3 linked regions of the Drosophila melanogaster genome follow. The protein of the gene in region 1 purifies or fractionates together with the protein of each later gene. This does not show direct contact. Each region holds a gene or a part of one and is shown on either strand. Other genes may lie near its edges. The genes, in order: Pak3, CkIIbeta2 and Ssl.

Evidence for each region.
Region 2: the proteins of Pak3 (region 1) and CkIIbeta2 purify together in Drosophila melanogaster (affinity purification with western blotting, with the first as the bait; one study listed by BioGRID). This does not show direct contact.
Region 3: the proteins of Pak3 (region 1) and Ssl purify together in Drosophila melanogaster (affinity purification with western blotting, with the first as the bait; one study listed by BioGRID). This does not show direct contact.

The regions. Positions count from the first base shown.
Region 1 is NT_033777.3:16,448,799-16,455,672, reverse strand, and holds the start of Pak3 (Pak3), read left to right. Parts: upstream 1-1,851; 5' UTR 1,852-2,762; coding exon 2,763-4,472; coding exon of another isoform or gene 4,473-4,514; 3' UTR 4,515-4,706; intron 4,707-6,874. Other genes in the region: CG10405 (uncharacterized protein), read right to left, coding at 1-74, 148-188, 493-1,106.
Region 2 is NT_033778.4:20,287,333-20,291,074, forward strand, and holds CkIIbeta2 (casein kinase II beta2 subunit), read left to right. Parts: upstream 1-2,212; 5' UTR 2,213-2,346; coding exon 2,347-2,897; intron 2,898-2,991; coding exon 2,992-3,100; 3' UTR 3,101-3,218; downstream 3,219-3,742. Other genes in the region: CG34199 (uncharacterized protein), read left to right, coding at 295-306, 364-930; Cpr56F (cuticular protein 56F), read right to left, coding at 1,532-2,179. UniProt on the Drosophila melanogaster protein: Participates in Wnt signaling. Plays a complex role in regulating the basal catalytic activity of the alpha subunit.
Region 3 is NT_033778.4:24,498,373-24,501,929, reverse strand, and holds Ssl (suppressor of Stellate-like), read left to right. Parts: upstream 1-1,662; 5' UTR 1,663-1,737; coding exon 1,738-1,748; intron 1,749-1,805; coding exon 1,806-2,327; intron 2,328-2,387; coding exon 2,388-2,514; 3' UTR 2,515-2,687; downstream 2,688-3,557. Other genes in the region: Prosalpha4T2 (proteasome alpha4 subunit, Testis-specific 2), read left to right, coding at 1-138, 319-745.

The sequences.
Region 1 (6,874 bases):
ATCCGCGCAGCCAACTCCCCAGGATACGATTCCGATAAGGGTTCCCTGTGCGCTGATCGGACCTCCACTGTCGCCTGAAAAATGATGAGGTTCACGGTGTCATTATCAACATGTCGATTAAACGTAATTGTAATTATCTGGGCTCACCTTGACATGCGTCTGTGTTTCTGGCGGCCGCGCAGAACATTCTGAAAGATAATATAAATTGGGAATTAATTGGCTTTGTCTTACCAATAAACACTTGAGAACAATAAATAGAGATGTATCTCAAGTACCAACTCCCTTTTGAAAATTTTTAAATTGTGCTCAAGCAGTGAGTGACTTCGTGAGTTTTTTGGGGCTTCTGTCTTCTAGAATTAGAAGTATTTTTGGAAAGGCAGAGTTGTGTATAGAGATAAACTCTTAATTTGTTCAATCTACATGGCATAATATGTAGGGAATAGTCTCTTGGGTAAACAGAACTTAAAAAAGTAGTATGATTCCCCTGCTTACGCTTCGGTGACGCCTCCGTGATGGCGTAGATCGTTGTGGCACTTCTCTTGGTTGACTGTCAGTACCGTAGTGCTTTTGAGTACCGACGACAGGACGGGATTGGAGGTGCTCATGTGTCCCCAGCCGGAGACGACGGCGGGCATGCTTTCCGAGATGGCCTCGCCAACGGTGGGCAATCGAATGGGCGCCACTTTGCCCAACGGCAGGCTGAGTGCTCCGTCCGCTGTTCGTAGAAGGGCCACGTCGAAGTTCATGTCCGCCCGATCGTAGGCCGGATGCTTGTAGATGGCTTTCACCGGCTGAACAGTGCCGCCCGAGGTACGCATGATGCTGCCCTGGCGGAGTGTGAATTCCCGCGGCTGCTGCTCATGCCCGTCGATGCAATGAGCGGCCGTAATGGCCCAGTTGCTGGAGAGAATCGAGGCGCCGCAGATGTGTACCGTTTGGCGGCGCAGCGAGAGTTGGTATGGAAACTGGCCTTCGGTGGCTTCGCGTCCGTTCACAATCCGACTGTCCGGCTGCCGAGGGACGGCAGCCTCTGTGCGGGATGCTTCCAGGATCACAAGGATCCCAGCTATGAGAAGAAACGGAATTGGAGCTCGGCACTTTTGCATGACGCTGCGAACGAGTGGAAACTAACCAGCATTGGGAATCCGTAAGTCGATATATTCAATGGCGCTTTATCAATCACGGACGTTATCTAGTGGGGTACACGATTTCTGAAGAAGCTGCTCCGTTGCCCGTAATTAGCCATTGTCGCTTGGGTTTTTTTGTTGCCTATCTGCCAGATTCTCTGATTTTATTACTGTTTACAGCGGTGACGATGGCAATGAACTTCCGCAAGAGCATCGGGGAAATGCAGAAATGGTTAAACCATTTTGATAAAAAAAGGTAGTTTTTATCTTTTTAAAAAATCGATTCTTATGGGAAGATCAGAAGATATATATATATAGATATCACAAGATCACAAGATATGAGGTTTAAAATACCCAAATATAAATGAATGTAAGATGGATGTTTAAATGTTCTTTTATTTAACTGAGTTCTATTAATTACCGGATTCGGATTTTTGAAGAATTGGAAACCTATATATACTAAAACTAGTTGAGGGTCTATAAATACTTAAAATTATAAGAAACTTTTGTTAGTCAATACTAAAAGGCATTTATCCAGTAGCATGGCCGTTTAGAATAATATTTATATTATTTTATAAAAAATTATTTGTAATATTTTTAAAGTGTTCCGACTCAAAATTGTTGGAAAAAATACTGAACCACTTGACCAGCATCGATAGTCCTATAAAAGTGTCGATGTTTCGATAAAAGGCCACACAGTGGAATACTCGCCCAACTTAGCTGCGGTCACACTTAGTCTGCAATTTTCAAGAATTACACACGCGCGGATGTTTTTCGGTTCATCCTAAGAAACATAAAATTGCAACGCAAAGAGCAGCTTAAAATCGCGAATTAACCTTTAGGCTTAATAGTAAAAATAAAGAGTGTACATCGTACACAATTCGCATTTGTCGGCACAATTGGTGCGAGTGCGACAACAATAGCAGGCCGAGTGCAGCAGTGCGATTGCAGCAAAGCGAAGGGAAAAACCAAAGAAGTTATTAATTTCGGAGTGTTGCTCTGAAAGCGGCTTAGATATACCCAAATCAACAATATACTTCCGTATAGTTATGGAAGCCTGGAAGGGCTAACAAAAAACTATACGGGAAGGCAGTTTTCGGCCCGCGTAAGAACAGCAACAACAACAGACACTGGAAGAACAAGACTGCGACGGCCACTCCTTTTGTGTCCGACTTCGAGATGTGTGCGTGTTCGTGTCCGCGTCCGCCTTTGTGTGTTGAGCAATTGAAAACTGGTGATTGCTGAATAAATTAAGGTAGCTAAATTAATAATTAGCAAAGCGAGTGGGGCCAATAAAAAGTGAAAATCTTCTGCGTTTTCGTAAAGCGAAAGAAACTACAGCTACAGTTAGAGATAAGAAGAGCTCTCGCACACATACACAAAGCGCAGGCCGAACGAGCGAGTGTGCGTGCTTGTGCATGTGTTTATGACTCACGGCTGGTTCAGTGAGAGAGAGAAAGAGAGCGAGAGTGGTGGCTTGAGTAACAGTAACATTAACAATACCGAACGCGAAACAACAACAAATCTGCCGAGCGTTTAGAATTTCCCAAGTCGAGCGTTACTAAACGCATTGAAGAAAATCCCCCCCACCCACACACACTCTTATACAATAAAGAGAGAGAAAGCCGCTGGAAAATGAGCTTCACCAAGTGGTTCAAGAAGAAGGGCGGAGATGGGGGATCGATCTCAGAGATCGGTGCACCCACAAACTTCCAACGGCACTTCCATGTCTCGCGCAACCAGGAAACCGGCGACCTGGAGGGGCTTCCAGCTCCATGGGTGCGCCTAATGAACTCACAGATCACTCGCGATGAGCAGGACAAGAATCCAGATGCTGCCTACCATGCCGTTAAGTACTACAACTATTCGATTAAGAAGAAAGAGAACGAGGTCTTCAAGCCCTTCATCACCGAAGATGTGATCCACGAGGAGTCCAAGGAGATAGAAAACTATGTCAACTACAAAAACAAGCACAAGTCTCAGGATCCCGAAAAGTCCGACGACGATGGCAGTTCGACGGCCACGGAGACGGAAAGTAGCAGCGGTTGTGGCTCCTCGGCAGGTAATAGTAACAGCAGCAGCATCAACGACAGCAGCCAGCAGTCGACGGTGCCGCTGGACGCCCTAGAGGAGGTGTTCAAGGAGCTCAAGACCAATCTGGAGCACCGCGAAACGCTGAAGGCCGCACCGCAAGAGCCTCCACCAGTACCGCCCAAGAAATCGCCCCACACCATACCGCCCAAACCGCAAATCAAGCCCAAACCTCGTGTCACACAGAAGTTCTCACGCACTTCGGATATACGTCGAGATGAGGACTCCGACAACCAGCACAAGATCAACACAGACACAATCATCATCAAGCCAGCCGTAGGGGCCCAGGATGCTGGAGCGGATGATAATCCCGACGAGACGATACTGCGCCGCTCCAAGGAGAAGAGGGCCCAGAAAACCGATGCCGAAATCTACGTTGAGCTGCGGGCAATTTGCAATTCAGATGACCCAAGGGAACGCTACAAGACCACCCAGGAGGTGGGCAAGGGAGCTTCTGGCATAGTTTTCATAGCCGCCGATTTGCAGAACGAATCGCAGGTGGCCGTCAAGACCATCGATATGAAGAACCAGTCCTCGAAGGATCTCATACTCACAGAAATCCGAGTGCTCAAGGACTTCAACCACAAGAATCTGGTAAACTTTCTGGATGCCTACCTTCTGGAGCCCGAGGACCAACTGTGGGTAGTCATGGAGTACATGGATGGCGGCCCATTGACTGACGTCGTTACCGAGACTGTGATGAAGGAGCGCCAGATTGCCTGCGTCTGCCGCGAGACACTCTACGCTATTAGTTTTCTGCACGCTAAGGGCATTATCCACCGGGACATCAAGTCAGACAACGTGCTGCTGGGCATGGATGGCAGTGTTAAGGTGACGGACTTTGGGTTCTGCGCCAACATCGAGGGCGATGAGAAGCGCCAGACAATGGTGGGAACGCCGTACTGGATGGCGCCCGAAGTGGTCACGCGCAAGAAGTACGGCAAGAAGGTGGACATCTGGTCTATCGGCATCATGGCCATCGAGATGATCGAAGGCCAGCCACCCTACCTATACGAGACTCCACTCCGCGCCCTCTACCTGATCGCCGCCAACGGTCGGCCGGATATCAAGAGCTGGGATAAGCTGAGTCCCAACCTTCAAGACTTTCTCGATCGCTGTCTCCAGGTGGAGGTGGACCGAAGGGCCACCGCCGACGAGTTGCTCAGCCATCCGTTCCTCAACGACTGCAGCGAGGTCAAGGCCCTCGTGCCCAACATCAAGGCGGCCAAGAAGGTGCTCCGACGCAACGTATAGTTGCTATGCAATCACCGGACGGCCAGGCTGCTCTACGCGTGATCGGAAGCGGAATCGGGTTCGGGTTCGGGATCTGCCCCGTGTGTATAATGAGTTTTCAATGTAAATTTGTTTTGTGTGGACGAAACCGGAACTGGAACTGGAATAGAATGCTGACCGTAGTCTTTGTAGTATGTACAACCGTAGAAATGGCGAAAGCAGGACTAGGACCCGGCAACTCCCCTTCGAAAACAGGTAAGTCCCAGGTAGCCCATTTGGCCAAGCTCATTATTCAAGCGAAACGATATCCATTTCAACGGAAACCTTTTCGCAATCGCACATGTGGAAACAGAGGCTGTCGGTTTATTGTCCGATGGGTTAGTTTCTCTTTGCTGTCTAAATTTTGTCAAAGACCTAGACCCAAAACAGCGATAGTTGCCTATCTTGGGACTTTTAATCAGTAACTCACTTCGGTTCGAACAACAGATTAAATTCGATCAAGGTTGCGAAGTGCACGAGGCTTTTGTCTCTGATTAATTTTATTTCTTGTATACCTGGGAAAGGGAATCTTTAACGCGGTCAATTGCTTGCAACGCCCTATAGAGCAAATATGTTATGGTGCCAAGACAGCTTAATATGATTTAGAAAGTCATCCATCAGAGAAATGGACTGGGACCAGTGGGGTTGGATTTAATCCAAAAATGATTCACTTCTACAAACAGTTATACTTAAAACTCATGTTTTATTCAACAAATATTTAATTTTCTTCGTTTCATATGATTCAAACATGATTTGAAAAAACCAGATGATGATAACTTAATGCGTTATTATAAAAGACACATTTTTTAGTTTTCTGGTATAGCAAAAATATTATTATTTCCTGAATTAAAAAAATTCTTTGCCATTTCCATGAACATCTCTCCGTAATAATGAAGTTTGGGATTTTCCTACATGAGAGCACACACCGTTACTTGGCTAGCGCTGCAATTGTTTATGTCTCATTCGTTTGGACACCTATTACGTATAGGGTTTTTGCACAAACCATTCCATTGAAAACCGACAATGGACAAAAAAGCAAGTAAAAGAAAGAAGCCGCTCCGGCAGTAACAACAAACAACAACTGAGTACGCAATTTAACACGCTCGTTCGCATTTCCTGTTTGGAATATCGCTTTGTCTGGCCAAAAAATATTCATACATCATAATAAAGAAAACTTTAATTCAGGCACACAGACAGCGAAAACACCTACGCGCAGCGAAATGCATTTGTATTGGCCTTATCAGGCGCGTACAACATGCTGTATAAGTGCTATTGTAATTCCCCCAGCTGTAGAGAAACCGGAGGGGAATTTATCAAATTCTTAGAACAATTTTCGTCCATTTCCAATGTGATAAGCAAAGCTAAAAAATAGATCGTGAAAGTTCTACGAGAGAGTGCGAGAAAGAGAGTGCTAGAGAGGGGGTGGCGAGAGAGCGAAAGTGGAGTCAAAGTCAAACTGAGTGTGTGTAACACAAAGAATGAGAGTGTGTATAATTGATTCTGATGGCGGTTCTTCGGCCTCTTCCTCTCTCTCTCACTCTTCTTTAGTTCTTCTGCATCTTTGGTCGCCCTCCCACTTACTCAACTTAATTGCTTCTGTGGCAGGAGCAAACGAGAGGGGGGATGGCGACGTCGCGACTCGGCTGCGCTATTTTTACTCTCTCCCACTCCCACTTTGGCTTGCATCTTCCCCTGCATTGTGATGCACTGGCTCTGCATTTTCCAGGGGCGGATCTGGAGGCTAGTTTTTCAGTAGGTTTAAATATTTTAATGTGGTGACAACTGAGAGTATAATTAAAAGATACTTTCAGAAGCTAAGTTTAATTACCAAAACATTAGGGGAATATTCCTTGCAAACCACAACTAGATCCGCCCCTGGTTTCTTCTCCAACTTCTACCGGATCTCTAGGCTCTCTATTTGTTTATATTACTGGCGCATACTTTTGCTTTCCGTTTTGCGGGAGAGTGAGGGAGAGATAGCGATGGTTCTTCTCACTTGCGGATATTGAAATCTTTAATTCTGCAAGTACTGGAAGCAGGGAGAAAGGAGGGATACGCTCAGGAATTTGCGCAAAAACTAAAACATTCTCTTCGTTTTCCATTCTGGCTTCTGGGCGTGGAACCTCGATCTTGGGGCAAAGTACAGCTGGCTACACTGAACAAATACTTGCTTAACCTGTGAATAATCCCTGATAAAAATACTTATGAGTATCTGCAAAATATGCTTATTTAGCACATCAAATAACTATTTATTGTACCTTAGCGTTGAAAGTATGTTTCCACTGTTATCTATTCCACATTAATAGACAAAGTAATGGTTTTTCTCTGTGCATCCAGTTGTGCGTTAGTGAGTGAAAGGGCCTCATGAATCCCCAGAGTCGTTT
Region 2 (3,742 bases), on another chromosome or scaffold:
GCTCTTATAACACTTTCACTTTTTATGTGCATCTAAAAGCAAAACCAAAGTTGAGCCTTTGCCAATTATTCGCTCATCCGTTGTCAAGGTTGTGTGCATTTGATTCTTTTTTATTTTTGTCGGCTGGATACGTGACTATGTAGTCCGAAGATGGAACAGATGCAGTCCAATTGGTGTCAGACGAACAAGGTGCGTGTCCGGCATGATAAATATTGCAATGGTTCCAATTGTTTAATATAAAAATGAGCAAATCCCAAATATTGCACCGCAGTTTCAATCGAGCCGTTCATTAAAATGGTGACAAAGGTATGATGTGGCTATTTAATAAACATTTTTACGTAAATCTTTTTGGCATTCCTAAAGTTGCTTCTACTGCTGCCATTTGTGGCCATTGTACAAGCTGAAGTGGATTTTACCGGTGGACGTATAGCACCTTATGCACCAACTGGTTGGCATCCGCAGATTCCATTCAACTTACCCAACGAGTATGTGCCTGCTATCCGATCAAGTCAGGGAGTAGAAATCACAAAGGCACGAGTGGACCAGTTCGATCCAGTGGAAAAGCCCCAGCCAAATTATTTGCCTCCAAATCAACTGGATATACCCGAGGAAGAGATTTTGCCCACCTCACGACCGTCCAACAAGTACGGTCCGGCAGATCCGAAATTTAAAATCATTTATCCTGATGATGAGGAGCCAGTTACTGCAAAAAATATCGTAGACAATCAGCAGCCCAAAATCAGAGAGGGACGTTACTTCGTCATTTCGCAGGACAATAAACTACAAAGAGTTTCTTTCAGCTCCCAGCAAAACGCAGATGCAGATGCAGATGATTTTACGGCTCAGTTGACTTACTCCACTGTGGGGCAACTCAAGGATCCTGTGTATCGATACAACAGACAGGGACAACTGGAGCGGGTCCTGAAGTAGGCAATTTGGATATAGCTATTTGAATATGTAAAATAGAGTTGTGCAATGTATTCAATTCTCAGAATGAATTATCTTGTTAATTATAAAAACAGTTTGGTTTTTCTTTTTGACTTTGTTTTATACAAAAATGCTTCTTTATTCATTTAATAATTATTAAATATACACAAAAATCTCATAAGTTCGTTTCACTTTCGAATTTCCATTTTCGTTTAAAAACTAAATACAATCCTTATGCATGTATGTATGAATGCGTAATGGTCATGTTGTGGGTGAATGGTGTGTTGGAGTGTGTGCGTAGACTAACACAAAATGAAGGCGCTTAAACAAAACAAAACGGCAAGGAGTTCCAGGTGTAGAGACGGAAAACAGGATAACGAACAGCAGTGAAACGGAAACGGAAAGGAACGCGCCTGTCTATGGCAAAATGGCGGGCGTCCCACTAAGGGTATGCACAGAGATGGGAATAGGGTTATATGGATAGACTGACTGCGATCGCTGGCCCACTGGCTGGATGTGCGTTTAATACTCGGCCAGCGATCCCATGAAGTAGACGAGTATAGTTGCGGGGTCGACCTAAATCGGGTATCCTCACTTCCCCATCTTAGTAGCCGTTGAATTTGCCCTGCTGCGCGTTGCTATCATAACCGCCACCGTTGCGACCATTGCCATTGCCGTTTCCGTTGCCATTGCCGACCTGCTCGTACCGAATGGTTGGGCGGTATCCATTCTGGTCGGCCTCGTACTCAACAATCTGTTTGCGTCCATCGGGCAGCAGGACGTAGTAGCGGCCCACAGCAAGATCACCATCGCGGGACTCCATGTGGCCGAAGTCATTGCCCGACTCGTAGTCCTGTACGTCGTACTTGAACTCGTACTTGGCCGGTCCATACTGCTCCTCATCCCGTTGTCCGTAGCCGTTGCCGTTGCCATTACCGCCGCCATAGCCGCCGTTTCCGTTTCCGTTTCCGCCCTTGAAGATGGCACCAGTCAGCGCTGGAGCACCATATTGACCCTGGGGAGGAGCGATGGGGGCGCCATAGCTGTTGCTGGGCGCTCCTCCATTGCCACCGGCCCGCTGGGGTGGCAAGTAGTTGCTCGACGGCGACTGGTAGCCCTGCGTGGGCGGCAGGTAGTTGTTGGACGGCGCCTGAGGCGACTGATTGGGGGGCAGGTACTGGTTCTGGGGAACTGGTGGTTCCGCATGGGTCCAGGCAGCCAGGCACACGAGCAGGGCAATGGATGTAAAAGCCTGGGAATGAAAATTCAGGGTTGCATTTACATTACAGTTTTCGTTTTGAGTTGACAACCCTTGATTGAACACTCCGTCCCTGACAGCTGTCATTCGAAATTAAATAAGTCCTATTGTTAAGCTCTCGTGATTTTGACTGATTAAATTAAAGCTTAAAAGAAGCAGCTATGACCGATTCGGACGAATCTTCCTGGATTCATTGGTTTTGCAAGCAGCGTGGCAACGAATTCTTTTGCGAGGTGGATGAGGAATATATCCAGGACAAGTTTAACCTTAACTTTCTTGATTCGAACGTTAAGAACTACAAATGTGCCTTGGAGGTGATCCTGGATCTTAATCCGGGTTCAGCTTCGGAAGACCCCGCTGAACCAGAACTGGAGGCTAGTGCAGAGAAACTGTATGGCTTGATCCATGCTCGCTTTATCCTAACCAACAGGGGCATCGAACTGATGTTGGACAAGTACAACAAGGGCGAATTCGGCACATGTCCACGTGCATTCTGCCATAGCCAGCCGGTGCTGCCCATTGGTTTGAGTGATAATCCTGGCGAGGATATGGTACGCATCTATTGCCCCAAGTGCAATGATGTGTACATTCCCAAGGCGTCGAGACATTCGAATCTGGATGGAGCCTTCTTTGGCACTGGATTCCCTCATATGTTCTTTATGGAGAAACCGGATGCTAGGCCCAAGCGGGCAAAGCAGAAGTTTGTGCCCAGGTTAGATCTTCCGTTTCCTGTGTTTCCTTCTATTTCCCTATGTTTTTAAGGTAGTTACTAATAATGTATAACTAATGTAACTATGTTTTCCCAGGCTTTATGGCTTTAAAATCCACCCCACGGCCTACCGTACTGCCGCTGAGATCCAAAAAGATGTGACAATGACGCCAGTAGGAGAAATCGATAGCCCATCCCACATTTGATCCTAAAGCTAAAATTTCTCATAAGCAACTGTCGCGTACTTCTCGAATAAGTGGGCACTGTTCGCCCGGCTGGCTGCCAGCTCATTAAACTCTCATAACAATAACTGCTCAGGCTGTGACCCGCTTGACAATCTTTTGTTTGGATTTGATGGCCTGCGAGCAGGCCCAGAATTGGCTTTGTCTTTCCCATCTTTACAGCATTTAGCTGAGGCATATGCAAATCTGTAGTAATTGGGTCCCAGGTGAAGCTCCCATCGGATTGGATTGGATTTAGCTGGGCTGCAAGTGAAGGGCTAATCTCGTGATCTTGCGCAATGCGTCTGAATCTTAAGTATTCGCCGTGTGGCGCGGACAACCTGTGGGAGAACCACTTCGGCTCACTCTTACACAACTTATTTCCGAATCTTGTGCAAAAGATCTTCTGGCCGAGTGTTTAGGCACAGGGCCGTCAATGACTTTCATGCTTCATTGGCGTTAAAATGCTATGCTTTTTGGCTGCGCTTTTGTCTGTATTTTTTTTTTATCGCCGCCTGGTCATCTCCAGACTGCCTTACTTGGGCATGTCCAGTAGTTCTTCTTCCGCCACTTAAAGTTTCTCTAATTTATTCATTGCAAAATGACCCCAAGCAGCGGCAGCTGTTG
Region 3 (3,557 bases), on another chromosome or scaffold:
CATGCTCGACGACCACGTGGTGATGACTTTTTCGGGTCTCACCGCGGACGCACGGATCCTGGTAAGCCGCGCCCAAATGGAGGCCCAGAGCCATCGTCTGAATTTCGAGAAGCCCACGACCGTGGAGTACATAACCCGGTGAGGAAGAGCACTGCCTACACAGGGAAAAGTATGCAGTGAATGAGCTGAGTTGCAAACCACAAAATACTCATGCATACTTTTTCCTGCCCTTTCGAAAAAGTTAAGAACTGTTCTCTCAGTGCATCCCCCTAGGCAAATTTGGATTTACCTTTTATGTCCTTTCCGCTTCCCATGCAGATACATAGCCCAGCTGAAACAGAACTACACGCAGAGCAATGGGAGGCGTCCATTTGGATTGTCCTGTCTGGTTGGGGGCTTCGACGAGGATGGCACTCCGCACCTGTTCCAAACGGATCCCTCGGGCATCTTCTACGAGTGGAGGGCCAACACCACCGGCCGCTCAAGCCAGCCGGTCCGCGATTACATGGAGAAGCACGCGGACGAGATTCTGACCATCGCCGACGAGGCAGCGGCCATCAAGCACATAGTCCGCACCCTGGTCAGCGTGTCCTCGCTCAACCACACCCAAATGGAGGTGGCTGTGCTCAAGTACCGCCAGCCACTGCGTATGATTGATCACCAGGTCCTGGCCGATCTGGAGCGAACCGTTCGCAGGGAAATTGAAGACGAGGCCGAGGCCAGTCGGCGGCCCCGTGCTCCCTAGTTTTGGCCGGCCACCCTGATCCATTCTGTTCGCCATGGCCCCTGGCCATTTTCATGACCAATCAAAAGTTGATAACCGGTCGTGCTCTCTTTTTCTGGGCAATTCAATTTCGGCCGGGGAGTTGGAGAAAAGTAATCAGCAGGAAAAATGTGTAAAGCGGGCAAATCACTTAATTTGTCTCCAGGGCGTATTTGTTTACTTTATATCCCTCTCCGGCGTAGACGCGTACGCTCCTTTCAGGCCAACCAAGTTAAAAAGTTTTAAGTGAAAATGCGAATTGAATTTGTAGAGGAAAAATAAGAAAGTGCGCGCACACATGCAGAAAATGTTTGTCAATCGAGATGGTTTCTCTTGATTGGGTTAATAAATTCCTAGATGCCAAGGAATGCTCCTTGATCCTGATGTAAAGAACATTGTTTTCTGAAGGCATCTTTACATTAAAGCAGGTCTTTTCCCATTGCAGAAGTACTGTCGATTTTTTCGCCGTGAGTTCCATTTGCGATTTCCTGCTCCACCTACACTGGGCTCCCCAGGCTGTCATATTGGCCGTTCAAAGTTGAGTCCCACTCATTTCCTGAAATCAAGTGCTTCAACCGAAAGTGGGTTTCATGGGTTAAGGTGTATGCTGTTATAAGGGTATGACCTGCCTGAAGGGTTCATCAGGGCAGCATCAATGATGTCAATAGTGGAGCACCGCACCCTTCGTTTCCCCTTGAGCAACTGGAGCATCAGGACTACGTTCTGGTCATTACAGACGTGTTTTGCGGCCTAGGCTTCCAAGAAAGCCAGGCTTCTGGCTAGCCTTGCCGATTTGACGAGTTTGAGGTCTTTGTGAAGGGCATCGAGTCCTCGGGCGATAAAGGGTTTGGAACACTGCTGCCCTGTCGCAGCCCTGACATTTGAATTGTTGTCACTGAGCTGTCTGTCATTATGAAATAGTAGGTCTCGTCATTTTGCACTGTACTTTTTCATTATATTTTATTCGAGTGAGCATGTCGTGTCCGTAAGTAACTAGGTTTTTCCTATAAAAATCATAGCAAATTACACCAAAATCTTTTAGCAGGAGCATCGAGATACCAGATGGCAGTTGGATCGATTGGTTCCTGGGAATCAAGGGCCACGAATTCTCCTGCCGGGTGCCCAATGAATACATCCAGGACAAGTTCAATCTGACGGGCCTGGAGTTCGATAGCCAGACACTGGAGGTAGTCTTAGATCCGGAGTTCGACAACGAGGACTGGGACTGCGCCGAAGAGAAGAAGCTGTATGGCATGATCCATGCACGGTACATCGTTTCGCCGCGTGGCATTGAAGATATGCGATTAAAGTACGAAAGGGGGGACTTCGGATCGTGTCCGAGAGTCTTTTGTAAGAGGCAGAAAGTCCTGCCAGTGGGCCTTCACGACGTGTGGGACAAGGCCCAAGTTAAGATCTATTGCCCTAGCTGTAACAACGTCTACATCCCGCTACCCCACAATGGAATGCTGGACGGAGCCATGTTCGGGACCAGCTTCCCGCATATGTTCTTTATGCAGCTGCCAAGCTTGATACCCTCTCCGCCCGTGGAGAAGTACATCCCCCGGTGAGTAATTCTTCGAATATAATCCTTGTTCTTTTCTACACAAAGCACTTGCACTTCCAGTATCTATGGCTTCCAGTTGCACAAGAAGGCCCTGATGCCGCCCGAATCAGCAGAGTCCCCGCCAATAAAGGTCGAATCCTCGGTCAGCAAGTCGCCCTCCTGGCTAAGGAATGTCCCGAATTTTTAACTCCACACGAACAAAGCACACAAATGTTGGTTTGGTCTGTTGTTGCAATTAAACAGTTTCCCCAATGCGTTGATATGGCCAGCGACCACTAACACATGGGTGCACTCTCTCTGCCCTAAACACTTCACACCATTCGGTCCACGCTGGCCATATCAAGCAGTCATTCGAAAAGCAAAGCGTACTTGCCGTTAATAGTGGTAATCACCTGGGAGTTCGGAAGTGAAGCAGCTTTAAGCGGCCTATTCATCCGCTTAGTGTTGTCAGACACTGCGAGAAAATGGTTGGAAAGTTCTGTTGCACGGTCTAAATATAATTAGGATCCTCTACTACTCGAGAATTGGCATCAAGTGCACAAGGATTAAGGATCTACACTCCAAACGTTGAGTTAGATTATATTTCATCCCTGTGTGCGTGCTCCTTAAGTTCGCTGGACTTCGCAATAAAAATCCACTTGGCGGCACAACCTGCTAAGCCGATAATGGGAATTACGTTGAGCCGAGGCGTGGGCAGGGATTCGTGAATTTGCAGGAGGAGCCGCGTCCTGTTACTGTTCCTGTTCCCGATCCTTTGCCGCTGGCATCTCCAATAAGTCATGCCTTTATTATTATTTACTGCCGCCCTGGCGCTTTCATTTTCAGTTTTCCACGCCACTCGACGCCTTTTTCCTTCGAGTGGAGAAGAGCGCCTTTTCCGCTTTTCTCCATGGCGCCACCACCCTGTTTCTCGCACTTTTCACACTTAATTTCATTAAGTAATCATTCATACTGCAGCTTTTATTGAGTTTTAAACTGGCGGACCGTATAATGAGAATGTCTGGTGGGTGGAAAACGCGGGAAAATGAAAAAGCGCAGGATGCGAGCGTTTTGTTTTACATTACAATCGAGATGGCAATGTGGCTGGACTCGGATTCCTTTTCTCTGGCGGGACCTTGTGGATTCTTTGCCACCTGTTGTCCGCATCCGCCATTACTTATTCATAGTAATTTCTAGAGACCCCATCGAAATACAGAAAGACAGCTCGCCGTCTCATTTTCCACGTATTTA